2 linked regions of the Callithrix jacchus genome follow. The protein of the gene in region 1 interacts with the protein of each later gene in a pairwise test. Links are inferred from orthologs where the notes say so. Each region holds a gene or a part of one and is shown on either strand. Other genes may lie near its edges.

The links. The genes of interacting proteins can lie anywhere in the genome.
Region 2: the proteins of SH3YL1 (region 1) and SH3D19 interact in binary tests that used the Homo sapiens proteins (3 or more experiments, as listed by UniProt). The link is inferred for Callithrix jacchus from reciprocal best matches to the Homo sapiens genes SH3YL1 and SH3D19.

What each region holds. Positions count from the first base shown.
Region 1 is NC_133515.1:114,736,147-114,743,628, forward strand, and holds part of SH3YL1 (SH3 domain-containing YSC84-like protein 1), read left to right. Parts: intron 1-111; exon of another isoform or gene 112-218; intron 219-491; coding exon 492-602; intron 603-4,480; exon of another isoform or gene 4,481-4,490; coding exon 4,491-4,604; intron 4,605-7,056; coding exon 7,057-7,121; intron 7,122-7,316; exon of another isoform or gene 7,317-7,482.
Region 2 is NC_133504.1:45,430,902-45,438,856, forward strand, and holds the start of SH3D19 (SH3 domain-containing protein 19), read left to right. Parts: upstream 1-3,047; 5' UTR 3,048-3,359; coding exon 3,360-3,471; intron 3,472-7,955. UniProt on the Homo sapiens protein: May play a role in regulating A disintegrin and metalloproteases (ADAMs) in the signaling of EGFR-ligand shedding. May be involved in suppression of Ras-induced cellular transformation and Ras-mediated activation of ELK1.

The DNA.
Region 1 (7,482 bases):
CAAGGGGTGGATTATTCGTGAGTTTTCTGGAAAAGGGATGGGCAATTCCCGGAACTTAGGGTTCCCCCCCTTTTCAGACTATACAGGGTAACTTCCTGACGTTGCCGTGGCATTCGTAAGCCGTCATGGCACTGGTGGGAGTGTCTGTTAGCAAGCTAACGCCTTAGAATTAATGTTAAATGAGCAGTGAGGACGACCCCCTTGCCACGCTGATTTCGGTGGGTTTGGCCGCCGGCTCCTTCGCCAGATGCTGTTTTATCAGCAACGTCTTCCTGACCTGTATCTTGTGTGGACCTCGCATCTCAGCCTGTGACTCCTGGGAGTGCAGTCCCGTGGGTCTCAGCCTTGTTTCGCCCAGCTCCCATTCAAGATGGAGTCCCTCTGGTTTGAACACCTCTGACAGCTGTATATGAGAAAAATGAAATGACAATAAATGTCTCACTTCTATTTAGTAGAGTTTTTCATTAAAATACCTTTTTCTCATCTTTCAGTGAATAACCCTATACCTTCCAATTTGAAATCAGAAGCGAAAAAGGCTGCCAAAATATTAAGAGAATTCACAGAAATAACTTCCAGAAATGGACCTGATAAGATCATTCCTGGTAGGTAAATAGGATGAGTGCTGTTTGTGTCTAAATGTTTTTTTCCTAAGTTGTTTTTTGCCTTCTTCGACACTCCATTTCAGGCAGAAGCCTCCATCAGTGCCAACAGGTGGTTTCACCAGCGTCTTTCTCATGGCTGATCCAGGGATGCTCTGGAAACAGGTGGTTCCACCAGTGTCTTTCTCATGGCTGATCCAGGGATGCTCTGGAAACAGGTGGTTCCACCAGCGTCTTTCTCATGGCTGATCCAGGGATGCTCTGGAAACAGGTGGTTTCACCAGCATCTTTCTCTTGGCTGACCCAGGGTTGCTCTGGAAACAGGTGGTTCCACCAGCATCTTTCTCTTGGCTGATCCAGGGATGCTCTGGAAACAGGTGGTTCCACCAATGTCTTTCTCATGGCTGATCCAGGGATGCTCTGGAAACAGGTGGTTCCACCAGTGTCTTTCTCATGGCTGATCCAGGGATGCTCTGGAAACAGGTGGTTCCACCAGCATCTTTCTCTTGGCTGATCCAGGGATGCTCTGGAAACAGGTGGTTCCACCAGTGTCTTTCTCATGGCTGACCCAGGGATGCTCTGGAAACAGGTGGTTCCACCAGCATCTTTCTCTTGGCTGACCCAGGGTTGCTCTGGAAACCACGACCTCTTCATCACCACTTCCGGTTCCTTCCAGGGGTGTTCACAGCACAACTCATTTCATGCAAAGGAGATCCAAATGCCAAGTCACTTTGGCAATGTTACAGACCAGCCTCCCTCATAATCACAGCACATGACTCAGCTCTGTTTGGAAACTTTGTTATTGATATCATAATCTTAATAGTGATATAATAATGATGTTAATTACTGTTGCATTCCTGCCACTTCTCCCATCATGAGGAAATAGTCCTCACAGAGCCTTGTTACTCCAGGTGCAAGGGGTCTGGACACGGCCAGCTGCAGATCAGGCAAACCAGCCAGACCTCTTTCCTCCCTGTGTCTCCCTTTTACATAGGCTTTTCCTCCTGCTTCCCACCCCGGGGTTCCAGCGCCCTGAGCACCACATGTTCCTGCTCCACTTCAGCTCTCTGCAGCCTCGCCTGTCCTTTGCATCGCGTGCTAAGAACTCTGCAAGCTAACCTCGCAAACTCACCAGCTAATCTCATACATAAATTTTAATTTTGTGTTTTCTCCTTGCACATGAGACATTTACATTCTCGAGTGGTTTAAGAAGACATTAATCAGTGATTCCCAACACAGATGTGCATCGGTACCCCTAGGCCATAGAAACAGAATTCTTAAACTGCACTGCAAACCTGCGGAATCAGACTTTTAGTGTAGTGTGTCGAGGAATGCGTGTTTGACATGTGGTTTTTTTGTGTAATTCTTATGACTAGTCATTCTCTGACTAGTGACCACATAAGCTCTGGTCCGGGTGGCGTCTTTGAAAACCATGGCCTGTTCATCACCACTTCTAGTTATTTCCAGAGGGTGTTCACGGCATACTTGTCTCATCCCAGTCGGTCTGGACAGTGTTACAGACCAGCCTCCCGCTTAGTTAATCACAGTGCATGACTCTGAGTCCTGAATTAAAGAGCTAAGTTTAATTTTTCTAAGCCAGATATCTGAAGTTATTTAATAGAGCTTTAAATAATGTTTTAAAAATTTGTTACTGTTTTAATAATGTGAATCATGACGTTAATCATTGTTGCACTGGCCCAGTGACTTCTCCGGTCTGGAGAAAACAGTGCTTGGTAGAGCCTTGCCACTCCAGGTGCAGTCTGAACCTGCACCTTGGCAGACCCTGGGAGCTCCTGAGCAATGTGCTCAGACGTCACAGATCTGTCTGCATTGCTCACACGGCCCCAGCGAGGCACACACACAGGAGTTTCAGAAGCGCTGCTTTACAGCTGAAAGAAAACTCAACAAGACAAAGTAAGATTTTCAGTATCCGTACTCTAAAGGAGTCACTCTCAGTGGGTGAAGCTCGGAAAATGACATTCTGTTTGCGTGGTAGCGTGAGTAAGAGATTGCCCGAGGTGTGGGTGTGGCAGTGAGGAGAGTGCCACAGCCAGCAGAGATACAGGCTCACTTCTCTCACCTGGGAGTCTACATTAAAACAGAGATGCTGCATCACAGGATAATCAGCTGCATCTACAAAGCACTTAAACAAGACACCTGGACACCTTAGACTTCCTAGACTCCCACACAGTAATAGTGGGACACTTCAACATCAATATTAGATAGATCGATGAGACAGAAAATTAATAAGGATATCCAAGACTTGAACTCAGATCCAGAACAAATAAACATTTATAGAACTCTCCACCAGAACAAATAAACATTTATAGAACTCTCCACCTTAAAAAAAAAAAAAAAAGCAAGACACCTAGGTCTTTAGACCTCCCAGTGGTGTGTCTGGCCTCCTCTAATGCTAGGGTTCTGAGTTAAGTGAAGCTTAGTTTAGCAATTAAATCTATAATCGTGACATTCTATGTTATAAATCAAAAGCGAACTGGCAGATTATTTAGGGATTATTAGTATTTCAGCTCCCTGAATCTGAGTGGAAATCTATACAAATATAATTGACATGTGGAATATATTCATTTTAAAACCTGCTTTTGCTAATATCTAATTCTCAATAGGAGCAATAGCAACTCTACAATGTTGAAAACAGAATGTGAGGAAGACATTCTGCCAACAGGTGGCTGTAAATATAAACCTGCACGATGTATAATACAGCTTTCAGTCTTGTTACAGTGTAGTTCTAACCTTTTAAAATAGAAAAGGAAAGTACACTTAGGAGCCAGCCATCCAGGATGCAACCTTGTTCTCCATAACTTTCTAAGAACAGCTCCGCACATGTTCTGCCTGCGGACTTCATGGTCTTGGATCCGTTACTTCCAAGGGTCTGTTCTTAATGTAAATCTTGAAATGGTGGCATAATTACCTGAGAATTTTAGTGTTCTCCCGGGGCATCTGCAAAGCCTTTGCTCTGTGTGCCAGAGCACCATGTCTGGCTTCACTTTCTTGGCAGAATATTTGATACAAATAATAATAAACTAAACTAGCTTAAAGTCATATGCTAGGCTCCCCTCGTTAGTTTGAAAGAGGTATTATTGTGTTGTAGGTTCACAGAGTAGTGTGGCACTACATTCAGTGGATACATATAGTAATAACCCTCATTTACGTAATGAACGTCTCTGAAATGTGACTAAGCCAATATTTTTAAATTGAACATATTATAAGTATACTAGGAGTTAAGTGGTACTTGAATGCTCTAACAGATCATTTTATAATGTTAAAAATGTTTCAACATTGAAAAAGTTTTTTTCTGTTTTTGAATCCAAATGTATATATTTATACAAGGTTAATTTAGTTAGATGGCTTTAAGATCAAAGTTCTAATTCATGTGGCTTTTTGGTAATTTTTAAAGTTTTTCCTTAATACTGTATGGATCTTAATTTCTTTGAAAATAGTAACTTTTATCTTTTACATTGTATACTATATTCTAAATTAATTGAAATTGCCAAAATATTTGCCCTGCTAATAGATAACAGTAAAATCTCTTTCAAATATCTAATTTATCTAATTTATTTATCAAATAATTTGTCTAATAAATTTGATATTTGAAAGATATTTTATTGATGTCTATTAGCAGGGCAAATACTTTGCAGGATTTGGGGCTATTTAAGATGTTGTGTTTAGCGCCGCAGAAATAGCAAACACAGAAACATGCGTGGGAATAGAGAGGCTTGTGCCCGGCTGTTCAGTGAGTGACCTTTGTTCATTGCCCCTGTGTGCCCTGAACTCCTAGGGAGAGCCCCTGCGCGCTGACTCGGGGTAACACGCCCGTCTATCCCGGCACCCAGATAAAAATGCTGACCTTCCCACTGTTTTCCACGTTAACAGCTCACGTAATTGCGAAGGCGAAAGGCCTTGCGATTCTGTCTGTGATCAAAGCCGGGTTCCTGGTGACCGCCCGAGGAGGCAGTGGGATCGTGCTGGCGCGCCTTCCGGACGGAGGTAAGTGGGCATCTATCTGTTCACGGGAGTGGAGAATCCTCGTTCTTTCTTCCGTCTGCTTCCAGGATGAACACGTTGCAGAGCGAGTGGGGCAGGTTCCCTGCACAGCAGCAGAAACTTACCTAATGGGGGCTTCTTGACCGAGCGCGGGTTCGGTGTCGGGAACAAGGGCGGGAACCGGCCCTTCTGTCCCTCTCTGTCCTCAGAATATTAGACAAGTCTGGGCAGTGGACCCGATTTTGTTTTGCATGCGTTTTGTAATTCTTCCACGGAGCAAATATTTAAACACGGCAGTATATGCATTTCTTTTGTTTAATATGAATTCTTATCCCTCAACTTCATGGTATGGCTGCTTTCTTTTTTTTTTTTTTTTATGGAAATTGATATGAAAATAAGGGGCCACGTGTGAACTTCTTTGTTTCTGTGGTGGTTTATAGAAACCGTGACATTTGAAGAATTTTCCCCAAGGCAGAATTGTATCAAGAGCCAGGATAATCTAGTTTTACTTTCTGGGGTGAAATCTACTACTTGATTCTTTAGAGATGAAATCAAAATATTTGTTATGAATCCCAAGTACCAACATTTATAGTAATATTTAAAGTGGACATAGGTGTGTCAAAACCAAAAAAATGCTTTTTATACCAGTTTAACACTTGCTGTTCAGTGGACACATTTTTCTACCAGTAGCAGTTTTTTAAGCATAGATAACTTTATTATATTTTGAGAGAGCATGGGACACTTAGAATAAATATAGAATATACATGTTTGTGAAACACAGCCTTTAAATATCAGTCACCAGGATTCGCCATTTCTTTTTTCTTTTTTTTTTTTTTTTTTTTGAGACAGAATTTCACTGTTGTTACCCAGGCTGGAGTGCAATGGCGCGATCTCGGCTCACCGCAACCTCCACCTCCTGGGTTCAGGCAATTCTCCTGCCTCAGCCTCCCGAGTAGTTGGGATTACAGGCACGCGCCACCATGCCCAGCTAATTTTTTGTATTTTTAGTAGAGAGGGGGTTTCACCTTGTTGACTAGGATGGTCTCGATCTCCTGACCTCGTGATCCACCCGCCTCGGCCTCCCAAAGTGCTGGGATTATAAGCGTGAGCCACTGTGCCCGGCCAGGATTCACCATTTCTTACCAAGGTTGCCCCACAGTCAACAAGAATCTCTTCCTTAATATGGGGGTCCATTTTCATAGCTGTGTGTAGCTTTGAAAATAGGAAGAACACAATTATCTTTTTTCAAGCATTATCCAAATTTCCATGAGCAGACTTCTCGGCAGTAAAACCGAACGAAATAGAGGCTCATTTCAAGGGGTCCCATTGTCAGATGGGACTCAAAGTCTACGAGAAAGTCCCCAGTGTCTCAGGTCCCCAGCTGTTCCATTGACCGGATAACTTCCTGACCAGAGGGAGGGACAGTCAACACCAAGCCCTGGGCTCCTCTCAGAGCCCAGCCGACCTTCCTACTGGTTTCAAAACCTGCAATTCTCTTCCTTCGTCCTGAGCTGCAGCTGCTGACTCTGCTGAGAGTAATTTTAAAACTGTCCAAATAAGGCACAACACGTTCCCCCAGGATCCTGGCCAAGACCAGGCATCTTAACACAGGGACAGTTCCTGACATAGGGAATGAAAAATAACTTAGGGTTTATCAGACACGAATTTCTGTAACCCAAACTTCTCTAAGCCTGGATAGGATAGTGCTGGAAGTTCCAGCGATGTTCCATTATCTAGCATGCATGGCAGCAAGTTTTCAGAAAGTGATTTGGCCAGACTGTCCCCCCACCAGAAGGAAAATACATTTTTCTAGACTTGTTTAACTGTTTCTATATCAAGAAAAATAAGCATATAGTAATCCTAAAATGTGCCATATCATGGCAAACGGAATTACTGTACTTAGTTTCTAAATGTGATTTATCTCGTTAGAATTTTAATAACCTTGAATTTGTTGTGCTTAAGCATTAGAGGTGTTAAAACCGTTTTGCCTTCAGAAATTTACAATGGAAACAACAATCATGTTACTGTTAGATCATAAACTATTGAATCCTTCTGATCACTTAAATCTATGACAAAATTCTGGCTGAAGACTAGAGCTACAGCTAAGTTGCTTTATCAAAATATTGACAGTTGAGGATACCAAGTGCTTATGTATGGTTAATGGTTAGAGAACCAGTGGTTGGTTTGGTATTAAGCATGTTGGTAGAGAGAGATTAGAGGAGGTGGGCTAGTGACGCGGTGAGACTCAGAATGAATATCTAATCCTTTTCAAATATTTTTAACTGTTTAAAAATTACATGTTCTTTTTGAAGAACACTGTAAAATAGTGGGAAATACCGAATCTCACTATTTTAAATAGAAACAGTCTTTAGAGTTTAGCATTTTTCCTTCCTGTATTTACATGTGGAGGTGTGTTAATGTTGGGGTAACTTTTCTGTCTGTCTGTTTTTATTAGCATGGTCTGCACCCTCAGCCATTGGGATAGCTGGCCTTGGTGGGGGATTTGAAATAGGAATTGAGGTAAGTAAGTGGATTGTGTATATCCACACAACTGCCATAGCCACTGAAGACTCCCAGGTGCCACCTGTGAAAACAGAGGTTTCCTAGTGTTCTGTTACCAGTGACACCTAGGAAAATTGCTTCCTTTATTTTCTTGATGAATGTCTAAATGAAGCTATCTGATGGTTCCCATTTTCTTTCCTTTTCTTTCACCAGGAGTGGGATTTCTCTCATTCACCATTTTATCTGCTTCTGCCTCATGCACATCTGTATAACAGGCACATCTCATCCCCTGGCCAACTGTCCTTGGCAGTTTATGGACTGCTCATGGCAAAGCCACCATCCTCCTTCACTGGGCATTGAAATAACGTGGGCAGTGCAT
Region 2 (7,955 bases), on another chromosome or scaffold:
CCTGGTCAACATGGTGAAACCCCGTCTCTACTAAAATACAAAAAATTAGCTGGGCATGGTGGCGCGTGCCTGTAATCCCAGCTACTCAGGAGGCTGAGGCAGGAGAGTTGCCTGAACCCAGGAGGCGGAGGTTGCGGTGAGCCGAGATCGTGCCATTGCACTCCAGCCTGGGTAACAAGAGCAAAACTCCGTCTCAAAAAAAAAAAGAAAAAATGCTCATCGTCACTGGTCATCAGAGAGATGCAAATCAAAACCACATTGAGATACCATCTCACGCCAGTTAGAATGGCGATCATTAAAAAATCTGGAGACAACAGATGCTGGAGAGGATGTGGAGAAATAGGAACACTTTTACACTGTTGGTGGGAGTGTAAATTCGTTCAACCATTGTGGAAGACAGTGTGGCGATTCCTCAAGGCCTTAGAAATAGAAATTCCATTTGACCCAGCAATCCCATTACTGGGTATCTATCCAAAGGACTATAAATCGTTCTACTGTAAGGACACATGCACACGAATGTTCATTGCAGCACTGTTTACAATAGCAAAGACCTGAAATCAACCAAAATGCTCATCGATGATAGACTGGATTGGGAAAATGTGGCATATATACACTATGAAATATTATGCAGCAATCAGAAATGACGAGTTTGTGTCGTTTGTAGGGACATGGATGAATCTGGAGAACATCATTCTCAGCAAACTGACACAACAGAAAATGAAACACGGCATATTCTCACTCATAGGCGGGTGATGAAAAATGAGAACACATGGACACAGGGAGGGGAGTATTAAACACTGGTGTGTCTATTGGGGGGAAAAGGGGAGGGCCAGCGGGAGGGGGAGGTGGGGAGGGATAGCCTGGGGAGAAATGCCAAATGTGGGTGAAGGGGAGAAAGGAAGCAAAACACACTGCCATGTGTGTACATATGCAACTGTCTTGCGTGTTCTGCACATATACCCCCAAACCTAAAATGCAATAAAAAATTTAAAAAAAAATACAAAAATTAGCTGGGCGTAGTGGTGCGTGCCTGTAATCCCAGCTACTCAAGAGGCTGAGGCAGGAGAATCCCTTGATCCTAGGAGTGCAGTGGCGCAATCTGGGCTCACTGCTGCCTCAGTCTCGCGAGTAGCTGAGATTACCAGCGCATGCCACATTCCCAGCTAATTTTTGTGTTTTTTTTTTAGTATAAATGGGTTTCCTGTTGGGAGGCAGAGGTTGCAGTGAGCTGAGATCATGGCACTGCACTACAGCCTGGGTAATAGACTGAGACTTCAACTAAAAAAAAAAATCCCAAATTAAGACTCAATGATAGTAGAGACGGACTCCAATGGCTCTATGAAGTTTTACTGTTTGTTGGTCAAGGTAGGGGTTTCTAAATGATTCATCCTTGAAGGGAAGTGACAAATAAGCTTTCACTTAAAGTGAATCCAAACACTTGAAACAACCCTAAAGGTCCAGAACCTTTTTTTGTTGTTGTGAGCTTAATTTCCAGTTCTCTAAGTGTCTACTTATTTAATCATTTATTCAGTAATAAAGTTTTAACTTGTGTATTAGACCTCAATTTCACAGAATCGATTGTGGTTCTTATCTGCTTAAAAGTGGAAAGATTTTCTCAGGCAGCCACAGCTACTATTGAAAAGGCAACGAAACAGCACTCAGGTGTGGCAGGCAATTCTATTTTCAGTGACCCTTTTCTCTCGTTCTTTTTCTCTCCTACCTGCTGAACATTAGGAACTCTCACAATCTCTCAGAAATAGAGCAAAACGCTAAAGATAAAGTCCTGCTTATCCCACTCAGGAATTTCCTAAGGTTTCATGTTCAGGTAATATTTCTGCCTGCTACTTAGTTATCTTTTGGTGAAATTTCAGAATCTGTTCCTCTCTGTGTGAAAGTATGTATGTGCACCTATTGAACCTAAGATGTATATTGTACAGGTACACACAACTTTTGTTATGCAGTTCTTTCCAGCTTTCAAAAACGTTCTTAGGGGCAGCTCACACAGCTAAGTGCTTCAAATTACAGTTTCTGACTCCAGACCCAGTGCTCTCTCCACTTCCCCTAATTGCCTCTCTACAAATAATCACGTATGGTTCTCCTTAACACATTTTCTTCCTGTTCTTCTAGGATGTAGCCATATCCTAGCCCCAAATGAACTAGAATACAGTGAGGCTTATTATTAAAAACTTTTAGTAAACTATTTCTTTTTCTTTTAATTGCATTTTGGGTTTGGGGGTACATGTGAAGAACATGCAAGATAGTTGCATAGGTACACACGTGGCAGTGTGATTTGCTGCCTTCCTACCCTTCACCTTTATCTGGTATTTCTCCCCATGCTATCCCTCCTTTAATAAACTATTTTTAAGAGCAGCTTTAGGTTCACAGCAAAATTGAGCTGAAAGTTCAGAGATTTCCGATGTACCCGTTGCTCCCACACATGCATAGCCTCCCCCATTATCAATCCCCCACCAGAGTGCCACAGTTGCTACAACTGATGAACCCACACTGACACCTCATAATTACCCAAAGTCTATAGTTTACACTTGCGTTCACTCTTGCGTTTGTACATTCTGAGGGCTTCGACAAATGCATCCACCATTACAGTATCATACACATAGTAGCTTCACTGCCCCAAAAATCCTCTGTGCTCCAGCAAGGCTAGATTTTTAAGGGCGAAAAGAGAGGGAAAGAAATAAGTGTGCATCGCAGAGGCTCGACCCATCTCCCGAGCCGAGTTTGTTCCGAAGTTCAGCAGCTCTGCTGTCCCATCTCTCCCAGTGCGGCCCCCGTCAGGTTCCTCCTCTTTTTGTTTAAGTGTCAAACAAATGGGTTTCCTGTTGACAGTAGAATATCGTGAAAGGGCAGGAAGAGGCCAGGCCACCTCCTCTTTGTCCTCTTCCTATCCCTTTTATTTATTTTGCACACGTTTGTTTGGGTCCAGCGGGTGTTTCCAGCGTGTGTGGTTGTGGGGCGGCCTTAGGGTCCGGTAACCCCTCCCCGAGGAGGCGAGGCAGGGCCTGAACCCGCCCGATCCGCGGTGGAGCTCTGCGGGGCGGGGAAGGGAAAGAGGAAAGGGGAAGAGAGCCGGAGTGGGAGTGGGAAAGGCCGGGGATTTAGAGGCCGCCGGGCCGCCACAAAGAGGCGGGGAATCGGCTCGGCCAGCGCCCGGCCGCTGCCCCGCCGGCTGCAGGTGGAGTTCGCGGAGGTGGCCATTTCCGCAGCTGCCACCGACGCCTCCTCTGCGGGAGCCGCCTTCCCCCCGGCCCGAAGGTGGTGACCCGGGGCGCCGGGACCTGAGTTCTGGGGCGCCGGGGCCGCAGCTCGCCGGCTATCCAGCGGCTGCGCCCCGCGCCTCGCCCATGGCTGAAGGCCGACGGCGGGAGGACGAGGAGGAAGAGCTGCGCGAGCGCCGCGAGCTTGGTGGCCAACGCCGCGCCCGGGGCCGTGCGCTCTCGGGCCACTCGGCCGCAGGTGAGAGGCGCGGGCGCGGGGGACCGGGCGGCGGGGACCTTGGGCTGCGCGCTCTGGGGTCGCGCGGGTCCTGCCCCGGACGGCTGCAGCTCATTCCCGCGCCGGGATGGGACCAGCACCTTTAACTCTCGGAGGCGAGGCCAGAGCCGGGGAGGGTGGCCTTTCCATCGCCATCCCCACTTTCCGGCCGAGCCTCAAGTAATATTCAGACCCGTCTCTTACTGCTAGTGGTCGTGCAGCTGAAACTCCAGATTTTCCGTGCACACTAAATCCAGGAGCTGCCGGCTTGGGACTTGTGGCCTGGGTGATGACTTATCTCTGGGTGAGTCAGAGGCCCGTGGCCATCTCAGTGGACCACGACCCCTCCCGAGGGGTTTGCCTGTGCCGCCGCAGCGGGGTCAGAGCACGTGCTCGTAACTGAGTCAAATCTCGTTTCGGCGTCCCTTGAACTTCGGACCTGTGACACCCGCCCCCCCCCCCCCCCCCACTTCTCCTCCAGCCGCTGAGCTCACCAGTTTTCGATAGGACTTGTTTTCGTTATTTGTGAGACCCTCCCCTACACAAACAGAAGTCCAGAACGTAGCATCCCCAAAGGCCATTCATTTGGGCTGAGAATCATTTCCGGGCCTATAATTACTTTTATGATACTGTGTTTTGGGTACATAAGAGCCGCACAGATCAAATAGTTTGGCGCAGCAGTAGAAGACTGAATAAGTATAGATCCACACCCCTTCCCTCTTCCCGGGCGGCTTTTCAATCAAACATAATAGAGAGGAAATTCTTTGGCCTTTGATTCTAACCGGGTAATCCGAGTTATCTGAAAGCCAGAGAGAAGAACAAACCTAGGGGGACGGGCAACAGTAGGGAGATAGGGAAGTGAGAGAGAGAACGATTCACTTAGAGCCTCGTTAGGAAGTGGAATAGAGCGAATATTCCATGAAGTGGAGAAGGTTTTCTGTGTGACTACTTTAACCACTAAGAGAAAGCTGGAAAAATAGGGAAGATAGTGTATCTGTGCGGAACAAATAGAAAGTAGGATGAAAGGAAAACTTGCGAAGAACATTTTGAAGAAATGGTCCATTTGATGTCCTTGGTAGAATCTTGGAACCATAAAAATAATTCTCCATTCTCATTATTGCAGCTTCTCATCAAAGTAAGGCATTTGGCTGTCTGTATGAACACCAGTTTTGAGCATAATTGGTAGTTTTGTTCAGTGTGAACCCAGACCTAGTGAAATAATGAATAGTTGCTGGGTATAAGTGAAGATTTCTTGCAAGAATACAATGAAAAAAACTTTGCAAAGATATACCACCATTGACCAATGGTTTTAAATAGGGTAGGCCACCTTGGATTCCTGTTACCTTCAGCAGAAAGCGTCACTTGCACAAGAGACTGTACAGTGAAGAACTATTTTGGAGTCCAGATGTGTGTTTATCATTTAGTTGCAATATTTGCATTTATTCCAAGGCTGGTGGAAATGGCATTTTGTAATTAGTTTTCACCAGTTCCATAGTTTCCCAAGGCTGGCAAAGGCTTCTCTAGGTTCTTTGATAATATTTTGCTGAGACATGGCATTGTGTACTTTTTGCATTCGGTAATTGGTGTTTGTAGTTTTCTAACTATTTATATGCCCTTTTTTCATTAAAGGGTGTGAGGACGATGATGTTATGGAGTGGGTAAGTGGGTTAAATTTGTAATTTTTGGATTTATTTCTTTTGGAATAAATTATTTAATAGTTATATTTCGTTAGAAGCTGAGCTCCACTTCCCCCTTGTTAAACCTTGTTTAACATGCTTTTCAGACACCAACACATTCCTTACCAAGCTTGGGCATTTGTTAGTTATGTCAGTGTTAGATGTTGCTTTCTTCCAAGTGAGAGGGTATGAACTGACACAGAAGCTTCATGTTTTTTTCGCATCACCTTTTTAGTTTTTCGCTTTTTCTGATCTCAATGCTCTATACTTCCCTTACCATTTTACAGTCTAAAGATTTTCCTTTTCTTTGGTCTCACATAGCCTGATAACCAGAAACCTGGGGTTTATGGACTTAAGGTAGTCTGTGAACTCTTCCTTTTCTCCCCGCTAAATTTTGGAGTGATTGTGTAATTCCATTTATTTATTTTTACAACATACATACAAAATTTGTAAATTACAAATTTAAAAACTCTTGTAACTCATGCTCAAGTCAAGAAATAGTATATAGTCAGTTCCTTAGAAATGGAGTCCCATCCCTGCCAGATTTAGCCTCCTCTCTTCCCTAGAGGTTACTATTTTTGTTTAACCTTTGTGATTATTTCCTTTTTTTTCTGTACAGTTTTACCCTACACATATGTATCCCTATAAAATATTGTTTAGTTTTACCTTTTTAAAATCATATGAGTGGAATCATCCTGTATTTTATCAACCCAACAGTAAGCAAGTAGTGACTTGAGATTATGAAATATCTGGAATGAGTTCTTTTCATTAAAAGGCCAAGAGCCCCAGGCAGGTTCTGAGCACAGGACAGTCTTTGTAGGGCATCCTTAGGAAATAAGTGTGTGTGTATATTTAAAATTATATTAAGAAAATTGGGTTTGATTAATCACAATTTCATCTTACAACAAAAGATGATAATTGATCTGGTGCTCACCTTCTTTATAAAATGTATTTGTTATATTTCCCAGCTTTTAAAGTAATAAGATACCTTCAACATGATGCTAAAATAATTTTTTTGGCAGAATTATAGGCAATCAAGTACTGAGGTCAATTCAGTGAAGGTTAATTCTTTTTTTTTAGGCAGTCTTGTTTTGTTGCCCAGGCTGAAGTATAGTGGCATGGTCATGGCTCACTGCAACCTCCACCTCCCAGGTTCAAGCGATTCTTATGCCTCAGTCTCCTGAGTAGCTGCGATTACAAGTACATACCACCATGCCTGGCTAATTTTTTGTATTTGTAGTGGAGATGGGTTTCACCATGTTGGCCAGGGTGGTCTTGAACTCCTCCCACCTCGGCCTCCCAAAGTGCTGGGATTACAGGCATGAGCCACTGTGCCTGGCCAGCGACAGTTAATTCTGTAGCAGTTCATGACTCATGAGATTAATAAGCAGACATAGGAAAGTAAATGAGGAGCAGAAAGTATTCCATTGTTTGGGTTTCATGCACCGATGCTAAGGTGTCGTAAATTTGGTACGATGTGAAATATTTACTCTTGATGGTGGTATCCAAATGATTGCCTGACCTGACAGAGAGTGGTGATAATATGAAAGAACATATTACCACCAATATGAGAGTGGTGGTAATATGAAACACAACACCTGAATTCTTGGAGTGTCTTACTAATCCACCAAATGCCCATCACAAATAAGGAAGAGAGGATGTGGGTACACTAATCCAGTGGTTCTCAAACTTTTGCCACATATATCAGGCCTTGTACACGCTCAGTATCTGGTCACTTGGACTGGGATGGGGCCTGAGAATTTTCATTTTTAAAACATTCCCAGGTGATACTGATGCTGCTGGTTCAAAAAGATGATGCAATTTGCAAACTCCCATGTAATTAAGAGAGGAATCACACCCTCGACACATTCTAAGAAATAGTTCCTTTTGCTAATTTGTCCTTTTTAGTAGATCAGATGAAAACCCATGAGATAAACATGGAGATTTCCACAGACTAACATGTAAGACTTAGTTTCCATTGTGGGTTTCCTCAGTAGCTTCAAGGATTTCATGGTTGATTTATACAGCCTAGCATTTATGATCAACTTCATTTTTGTTTCTTGTTTTTTTCTTTGTGTTATTGATTTCGTATTCTTCATTTTATCTGCACAATTAAGATTGGCGTGTTAGTGCCACTGTGTTAGTGCTAGTTAGTGCTAGCCAAGGGCAAGAAGTGGAGGCTGGGGGGAATAGGCAGACGAGATTGGGTGACCACCTCTTCCCAGTTTCTCAGGACTGTTTCTGCTTTTAAAACTGAAAATTCTAGCCTGGCCAACATGGCAAAATCCTGTCTCTACTAAAAATACAAAAATTTAGCTGGGCATGGTGACTGGTGTGTATAATCCCGGCTACTCGGGAGGCTGAGACAGGAGGATTGCTTGATCCTGGGAGGTAGAGGGTGCAGTAAGCCCAGATCACTCCACTGCACTCCAGCCTGGGAGACAGAGCGAGACTCTGCCTCAGGAAACAGAAACAAACAAGAACTGAAAGTTTCCATTCATGGAAACTCCTCAGTCCCAGGCAAATCAAGGATAGTCACCCTGGTGGAAGGATAGCTTGGGTAGGGGGAAGAAGGGAGAATAAAGCCTACTGACAATGTTGTTTATACTAATATCCCGCTTCAGTTCAGATGCTTTTTTTCACTCAACAGTAAGTTTATAAGATTTATTTGTATTGTTACATGTAGCTGTAGGGTTTTTTTTTGTTTTTAAGACAGAGTCTTGCTCTGTCACCCAGGCTAGAGTGCTCTGGTGTGATCTCCGTTCACTACAACCTCCGCCTCCCAGATTC